2 linked regions of the Arabidopsis thaliana genome follow. The protein of the gene in region 1 interacts with the protein of each later gene in a biochemical or structural test. Each region holds a gene or a part of one and is shown in the gene's direction. Other genes may lie near its edges. The genes, in order: PIP2E and TSPO.

Region 1 (5,207 bases):
CAAGAAGATGTTATAAAAATATGGATGAAGATGAATTGTATACATAGAATTAATATTACAATGAATCCGAATGTGTTTAGATAAGTTGTAAATTACAAAATTGCGTAGAAAAAAAAAAAATGTTTTGCTATCAGTATATCCGTAATACTTTTTATGAACGGTCCCATCTCTAGGAAAAATGAGTAATATAATTCATGAAGCAATTCATTTTCATTTTATTTACAGAAAAAAATAATGGTCGTCGCTCGATTATTAAGTGGGACATTTGTTTTTTTTTTTGGTATTATTAAGTGATGCATCATCTGTTGTAGTCTTGTAGAACTCTATAATCCGCCAAATGCTTCGCTTCAAATATATTCTTGTATTTATCTTGGTGTCCAATCCTACTCTGCCATGGACGGGCCTAGCTACGTAAATTAGATGGGTCTACCACGGACACCACGTGGACAAGATTTAATGTTCATGGTTCATGGAGGTCGATCGTCTTCCCAAAAAAACAGTCATTTGATCCTGTGTTAATAAAAGTGGATGATATTCATGTTAATATTTATTAAATTATATGGTTTCTCATTCTCCATTCTTCATATCGTAATTCTTGCTCCACATATGAAACATTTCAAATGTTGGGAATAAAAGGTTTTTTTCAGAAAATATAATAATCGTGGTAAATTCAATCCCATCGCAAGCTCTCCTATTGGGGTTGGGAAAATCTTTGAAAATTTTCTTTCAGGCTGTGTTTAGTTCCATGGCCACCTTAATGACCAGTATCTTTAAATACGGCAAGAGTTTTAAATTTGAAAAGAAAAACAAAAACGTAAAATTTCAAGTATTAGACAACGTACATTCTTAAATAGGTGATTGTTGACTCCTTGATTAGGAGAGCTTTCAGATACATTCGCCCCATTTCACTGTCATGTCATTTGTATATACTGTTGCTCGTCAAATAATCTGATTCTTTGTTTCAATTTGTAATAGCATTTAAATTACTTTTATTTTTCTGCGTTAAACTTTTCGACTAAAGGTCGGTCCAATTTGCATTTTAAATTACTCTTATATTTTCTGCGTTAAATGTATGAGCGACGACTCTTTCATTTTAAGTAGTCTTTTTCATTACTTTGCAACATCTATCAGTGTCTGTTATTTTGCATTTTTTTTGGTCTTTTAAGAACTGAAATCTAAGAATCTACGCTAATTACATGAATACAACCATTCTATCATTTTTCTGTAATTATGGTGATATGAGGAAAAAAATAAATAATGGTTGACAGTTATACTAAACCTAAACATATTCGGGTATTAAAGTTACTTGGTTAGAAAGAAAAATTAAAAACCCAAAATTTATATTTTAAAATTTCTCTTTAAAGGTTTAGCTCCGGCTATGAGGATATTGCGCACAACACAAAGCCTCGTATCAAGTAGTCTACATGAAATGTTTGCCCATTGTAATTTTGTAAACTAGCTTGTTTGTTCGTGGGTAAAATAACTTAATAGGAAAATACCAGCAAAAAAAGGCGAGAGGAATTAGTGATTTTTCCCCCCAACAAAATTGTTGCAAAATAACCAAATCAAAATCAATTGAAAGCATATTCTTTAGACATCAATAGAGTCTTCATAGACTAATCACAATCATAAACACCTGTAGTGTTCCCTTATTTTACGAACTTTTTAATAAATAAAAAAGAAGAAGATAAATTAATTAACCTCATTGCAAAAGAGGAAAAACCTAAAGCCACAGCTTTCCATAAATAGACCCACTCACCATCTCTGCACATCACCCACATCTTCTAACAGTCTCTCACTTTCTCTCTTCTCTCTCTCTCTTTCTTTTTTGAGTCCGTGAAGGCTAAGTCTGAAAGAATGACGAAGGATGAGTTGACGGAGGAAGAGTCGCTCTCCGGCAAGGACTACTTAGACCCACCGCCTGTGAAGACGTTCGAGGTGAGAGAGCTCAAGAAGTGGTCCTTCTACAGAGCTGTCATCGCTGAGTTCATAGCTACTTTGCTCTTTCTATACGTGACTGTTTTGACAGTCATCGGCTTTAAGAGCCAGACTGATATCAACGCCGGCGGCGGAGCTTGTGCCAGTGTCGGCCTCCTAGGCATCTCTTGGGCCTTTGGTGGCATGATATTCATCCTCGTCTACTGCACTGCCGGCATCTCTGGTCTCTCTCTCTCTCTCTCTCTCTCTCTCTCTCTCTCTCTCTTTCCTTAACCATTTTTTGCATTATCTGATTTGCATAGCAAAATGCACATGCTTCATCATTCGAGGCTCCTATACATGTCCTCGTAACAAAGAAGCAGAATTTCAAAAATACCAAATCAACCAAACTATAGTAGTTAAATGATTGATGATACACAATGTTGGCCAGTATACATATGTGGTAAGAAAACTTAGCTTTCTAGAACATTAAATTCCATCCAAATTAAAATTCCAAATAATGTATGTTCTAAGATTTTTTTTGTTTTCAAACCAAGGTTAGTTTTTATATAAAATTAATGTTTCATTTCGGATTTCAATAATTTAACTATTTGAATTACTAAATCGAAGTTTTGCAAAAAACAATTAATCATGTGAAAACACCAAAAAAAAAAAAAAAAAATTATCTATCTCATCTGGATCAGCTGGTTTTATGAAATTATACGTACTTATCATATATATTTGTATAGGTGGACACATCAATCCCGCGGTGACGTTTGGGCTATTCCTAGCTAGCAAGGTATCATTGGTTAGAGCTGTGTCGTACATGGTGGCTCAGTGTCTCGGAGCCACTTGTGGAGTTGGTTTGGTGAAAGTCTTCCAGTCGACTTATTACAACCGCTACGGTGGTGGAGCCAACATGCTCTCCGACGGATACAATGTTGGCGTTGGGGTTGGTGCTGAGATTATCGGCACTTTTGTCCTCGTCTACACCGTCTTCTCCGCTACCGACCCTAAGCGAAATGCCCGTGACTCTCACATTCCTGTAAGCAATTTTAACTATCCTACAAGCCTCAATCACATGAATAACATTAAAAAGTATCAAAAACCTAGCTAAAGACTTATAGTAGTACATAAAATTGATAGTTTTCTTTCGTTTCATTTATTTTTAACAAAATGTAGTACTCGTGGTAATTACAGAAATAAATAATGGAAGAAATATTAGGATAGATTTTTTGATTTCGTTGTCGACAATTTTTCGTACAGAATCAAAATCTAGTGCCAGCTATATAACGCATTTATTTAATACTGAAAACGATGTCGTCTAGCCATTTTGGCCCTAACGAAAATAATACGGACCAAGTGTAACGTCTATCTTCTTCTATGAGATAAACGACGAAAGGGTGTCCAATTATTTTTCACTCATTTCTTGTTCGTTTCTTTGGTACCAAATGTCTATTTACACGTTATAACGACATACCATATTTGTGCTCCACGTCTCTTCATCACATGTCTCTGTATGTAAATGGTCCATATTTTGCATTTCCACAACGACCCATGTGTATGTGTACATACATTTTCCATGATATTTGTCCTTGCAAATATATATGATTCGTTACAAAACAAATCTTTCTGTTATGCACATGGTCATTAATTGATTCTTTTTCCCATTCTAGTAATCTTGGTACCTATGATTCATTCAAATTTAAATGTCTATGTCATTGATTGTTAATGACGTAAGTTGATTTATTTTGTATGAAATTATTGAATTGTAGGTATTAGCACCATTGCCAATTGGATTTTCCGTGTTCATGGTTCATTTAGCCACAATTCCAATTACTGGCACCGGAATAAACCCGGCTAGGAGTTTTGGAGCTGCCGTCATCTACAACAATCAAAAGGCTTGGGATGATCAGGTTTGTATTTTCACCATCTGATATTCGTTCTTGGGTTTTAAATTAACATATTAATGAGTTTTGTTTTAATAACTACAGTGGATCTTCTGGGTCGGTCCATTTGTGGGTGCAGCCATTGCAGCATTTTACCATCAGTTTGTGTTGAGAGCTGGTGCAATGAAGGCCTATGGGTCAGTCAGGAGCCAGCTTCATGAGCTCCATGCTTAAATTTGTTATTTCGAACTAGCGAAGAGGTGAAGAATTCTTTGGGCCAGGAAGGGAGGAAGGAAAAAAAAAAGGGACCCAAATCATATAAAAGAAAAAACGAATATTATTTAAGATGGTCGGTGAGTGACATTTACTGTGTCTTATTTGTGGCTTTGTGGGGGAGGTTTGTGTGTAACAATTTGTAACGTACAAGCAATGTATGTGTTATTTGATGCATATGATATTTATATATCTACTTATTGATGATTCTATCTTTGATCAATCATCATTATAACTTAAATTTCATAGAAAAAAACACAAACTCCAAAACCATAAACTACTATTGTTCCTAAATTCTCAGGAATGTCAATGTCGATCACAATCTTAAAATTTCATGCTAAAGATCCTTTGGGTCTTTTCCATCAACGGTGCATCCTATCAATCACTGAAAAATAAAGGGCACAAACATTTGTAATCGTCTCAAACAAACAAATAAAAAATGTTGAAATGATAACGCCATGGATAAAATGTTGAAATAAAAATAAATGATTCACGACACATGTTTAGCTATGTATAGGAGAAAAACCAAATCCTCTCACTTTTCTCTTTTATCTGGTTCCCCTCAGATTTCTTTACTATCTTGTTCCTCTTACTTTCCTCTATTTCTTTGGTATTGCCATCTAGTGAGATCTTAACATCTCACAACTTATATGGCACCTTCCTCTATTTTCTATATTTTTTCAACCGCATAATGAACATGACACCAACAATCAGAAGTAGAAACCCAACCAATATCCACAGGTGTGAAACATAGAATTACCAGATTTAGCATCAGTCTGACACATCTTGTATGGATACTAAGAGAGAGGGTAGAGTCTAGCATGATTCTTGAGAATAGGTAGATAATCGGCAATAAATGCAACATTGTTTACACTAGTAAATTGACATATTTAGCAATAAAAATGTATATATAAATGTTAATAAAACCAATAAAAGAAATCTATTTCACATTTAATATCATGCGATTGTTGTAAGATGTGGTAGCTTAGCCGATCTTCCAAATATGCAAGATCTAGCTCATATTTTTGAGCATGTGTAGTTTAGGTTCAAAATAATATCTTAGAGAAAATAAAGTTGGTAATTAGAATATTATTAGAAATCAACTCACACACATCGTGTGGGTTTATT
Region 2 (3,793 bases), 3.3 Mb from region 1:
GTAATAATCCGTGAGGCTGATACATCACTGAACGAGAGTGAAGACGGAAGTGTCAAGAAGAAATGCCTAGAACGCATGAAGCCTATAATCCCGCCTTCATGCCTATAAAATCAACATATTAATTACAACTAATGCTAAACACACAAACTGCAACTGCTTTCAAATTGCAGCTGCCTTATGATTGTACGTACTTGCACCACTTATAATTTGCGAACGCCACAAGGAGAAAAAGGTGAGCAATGAGCAAGCATACTGCAAATTCTTTGGACACAAAAACTCGTTCTGGAACAAATTTGAAGTTAACAGACCTGTTGAGAGCTCAAACTAGAGTTAGAGGTCAAAAGACATTTTTAGATCCCATCAACATGTTTTTTAGATTTGGCGGGAGAGAAGCGAACAATACCAGAAATGAATGAAAACACGTCCAAGATCAAAGGCGTTTGCTATGTATGAAACCGGATATGTTATCAGAAACGGCAGTCCCACGAGTATCTGTATAACCATTCATTGACCAGCTGAATGGTACTTCTTGCATAATCAAAACTATAATTCGCTGGATAATGCAACTCACCTATTTACATTGAAGAAACTACAGTTAACAAGTTTCCAAATTGTCTTGGAGAAACAATGCTACGCATACAAATTGGTGAATAAGAAGGCTTATAAGAGATATAGTGAAACCTGAACAAGAGCTGCACCAGCCAAAGCAGACACCACTCCAATGATATTCATGGCCTGTGAATAGTAAAACTTCACATATGAAGAAAAACAATGCTAGAAGAATAATAAAGCAAATCCATAAACTAATTCTCTTCCACGAACATATATACCTTAAGTAGCAGAAGTAACAAAGTTGGAGCATACAAAAGTACATTCATCTTTACAGAAACAGCTCCACTGTATAAAAAGAAGGGTAAGCAGACTAGTCAATCTAAAGAATCGAGAAGCAAAAGCAGCAATCTAACCTGAAAACAAGCATCCCTAGATGCCATTTACGATAGAGAAAGAGAGCCATTGATGCATGTAGGAGAGTCATGGCAAAACAATCATTAAAGAGACGGAGAACAAAGATTGAATGTATCCTCTTGGATAAACATAGTAGACTTAATGCCCACCATGGCACCTGAAATACGTAAGGATACAAGAAGAGATATCATCACTGAATTCACTAAAATCACTCCCATCATAAACAGACAAATCAAAACCAAAATATTGTTCATTAACATCGTAAATGGACAACGCTTGACAACGTCTACAAATACTTGATGAAAAGAGATAAGAAATAAGTCTTCATTTATACCACATCAGTCTTCACGTAGATGATCAAGACGATCCCCAGATTGACAATGTAGAGAACACCAAAAAGAATCTGCAAAATGTAAGAGAGTAGAATTGAGACAAATGAAGCGATGGATGGATCAAATTCCGCAGCTAATCCAAAGATAGGAGATTCAAAGAGAGGGAATTGCAAGCACCTGAGCAGGGTAGACTTCCCCTCCAGTTAAGTTCTGCACTGCAGAGTAAACATAGAGGAAACCTGCTGGATAAACCAATGGCCCTGTATCGCCTTTCAAGTTCCCATAGTCTCTCTCTCCCCCGAGAAACCCACTAACCTGCCCCAATTAGATAAATTTCACTTAAAGACTACTAGTTTACTTTGAAGAAACCACAGTTGACCATTGACACTTACCTGTGACATGTAAGCATCCCAATCGATCTTCGTGTCTGTTAAAGGCAAATGACGAAATTTGGTTTAAAACCTATGCAAATGCACATTTCGAGGGATACGCAAGCAAAAAAAAAAAGGAGGTAAATAGCTCTCACATGGAACATAGGCGATAATAAGTGCGACTAGGATTGCATCAGCAAGAATTAGCGCGAATGCGAATGGAACTGCAGGTTTTTTGAATAGATCGGATCGATTCGTCTCCTTCCCCAGCCGACGGCTACGAGAAGCTCTCAAACTCGCCGGTGATGAGGCGCCCGCCATGAAAACAGAGCAAATCGCATCAGCGTCTAGCCAACGCCGCGTAACAGACAACTACTTCCATATTACTACTCTTCTAATTAGCCCAAATTAAATGAGCCTATTGGGCTTCTTGTCTTAGTCGGTGTAGAGCCCAATTGTTGTTTTATTTTTTAATAATGCAAAAGTATTAAGCGATAAATAAATAAGCATCGCAATCGTCCCAAAACTGTGTGTATGCATCAGACATGAGCATATAGAGTAAGCACGTGTCCACACTTTTTCACAAAGTTATCTAAAAACAAAAAACAATTAATTAGCATTCGACGTGTACATATCACTCGCCACGTGTACAAGAGCCTTGGCCTTTTTGCTTCTTCTTCTTGTCTATTAATATCATCTCCTGATTATACTCTCTTTTGACCAAGCTGCTTCTTCTCCATCTATCCAACATCTCAAATCTCAGTAATCTTGTTCCTTCGATTCTGTTTTGGACGTTTGTAATGGATTCTCAGGACATCAGATACCGCGGCGGAGACGACAGAGACGCTGCAACGACGGCTATGGCCGAGACAGAGAGGAAAAGCGCTGACGACAACAAAGGAAAACGCGATCAAAAGAGGGCGATGGCGAAACGTGGTCTCAAGTCTCTGACGGTAGCGGTTGCGGCTCCTGTGCTCGTGACGCTCTTCGCTACGTATTTCCTCGGCACAAGCGACGGATACGGGAATCGAGCTAAGTCCTCGTCGTGGATCCCACCTCTGTGGCTCCTACACACAACGTGTCTCGCTTCTAGTGGTCTGATGGGTTTGGCTGCGTGGCTTGTATGGGTTGACGGTGGCTTCCACAAGAAGCCCAATGCTCTGTATCTTTACTTAGCTCAGTTTTTGCTCTGTTTGGTTTGGGATCCGGTTACGTTCCGCGTCGGGTCGGGAGTAGCGGGGCTTGCGGTGTGGTTGGGTCAATCGGCTGCGTTATTCGGATGCTACAAGGCCTTTAATGAGATAAGTCCGGTCGCTGGTAATCTGGTAAAGCCGTGTTTGGCTTGGGCTGCCTTTGTAGCCGCTGTTAATGTAAAGCTTGCAGTCGCGTGAGATCTGTAAACGCTATACGATGATGTTTGTAGAGTCTGAGTCATATGAGTGTTTCTTGTTGTTTTTGTTTTTTGTGATATATACCATAAAAGATGTCTTTGCGATCCAATGGTCTGGTCATTGTGGAGTAATAGACATGAACATGATATACTTGAGAAATAATGTGATATTGTAGAAGTTTTAAGCGTTGGTCTGAAATCAAACTGTGAGATTCTTAAAAGGCGATCGTTTTACTTTTATGTCGCCGAAACGGAACAAATTCAAACGGTAAAGCCAACTATACTTTGATCAGTTTTGGGTTGGGCCGTTGACACTGTTTTGTGGGCTTCTCAGTCAGTGGTAAACCTAAAATTAATATAGGAACTCGAGGATTAGGGCCCAATCCATTTTAACACGTGATGATATCATGTAAGGTTTGGAGGGAATATACAAAAAGTGGATGAATGATAGCGAACGAGAGGTCCTTGTGCTTTTTTGATTTACCCTCGAGACTCGTGCCGACGGAGTGGCCGTGGCTTTCGTGCAACAGTCTCGACCCATACCTCGACACGTGTTGAAAACGGTCCATTAAGAGTAAGACATCTGTCAATAGGACAGCTGTCCTAGAGGTCACTCGTCTCTCACAATCCAATCCCTTTCGCTTAAATTAAAACTAAAATGGAGCATGGCAGCAACATGCCACGTGGCTCACCAGTTTCAAATCTGAGCCGTCCGGTGTGATATAAGTCTTTTT

Evidence for each region.
Region 2: the proteins of PIP2E (region 1) and TSPO form a complex in vitro, tested with the Arabidopsis thaliana proteins (one study listed by BioGRID).

The regions. Positions count from the first base shown.
Region 1 is NC_003071.7:16,289,707-16,294,913, forward strand, and holds PIP2E (plasma membrane intrinsic protein 2E), read left to right. Parts: upstream 1-1,573; 5' UTR 1,574-1,857; coding exon 1,858-2,161; intron 2,162-2,666; coding exon 2,667-2,962; coding exon of another isoform or gene 2,963-3,034; exon of another isoform or gene 3,035-3,601; intron 3,602-3,692; coding exon 3,693-3,833; intron 3,834-3,911; coding exon 3,912-4,040; 3' UTR 4,041-4,395; downstream 4,396-5,207. UniProt on the Arabidopsis thaliana protein: Aquaporins facilitate the transport of water and small neutral solutes across cell membranes.
Region 2 is NC_003071.7:19,566,232-19,570,024, forward strand, and holds TSPO (TSPO(outer membrane tryptophan-rich sensory protein)-like protein), read left to right. Parts: upstream 1-2,232; 5' UTR 2,233-2,469; coding exon 2,470-3,060; 3' UTR 3,061-3,276; downstream 3,277-3,793. Other genes in the region: ALG3 (asparagine-linked glycosylation 3), read right to left, coding at 1-102, 192-308, 404-492, 682-735, 831-897, 966-1,123, 1,301-1,369, 1,476-1,613 and 2 more. UniProt on the Arabidopsis thaliana protein: Stress-induced membrane protein that can bind heme and may play a role in the transport of tetrapyrrole intermediates during salt stress and contribute to the detoxification of highly reactive porphyrins in the cytoplasm.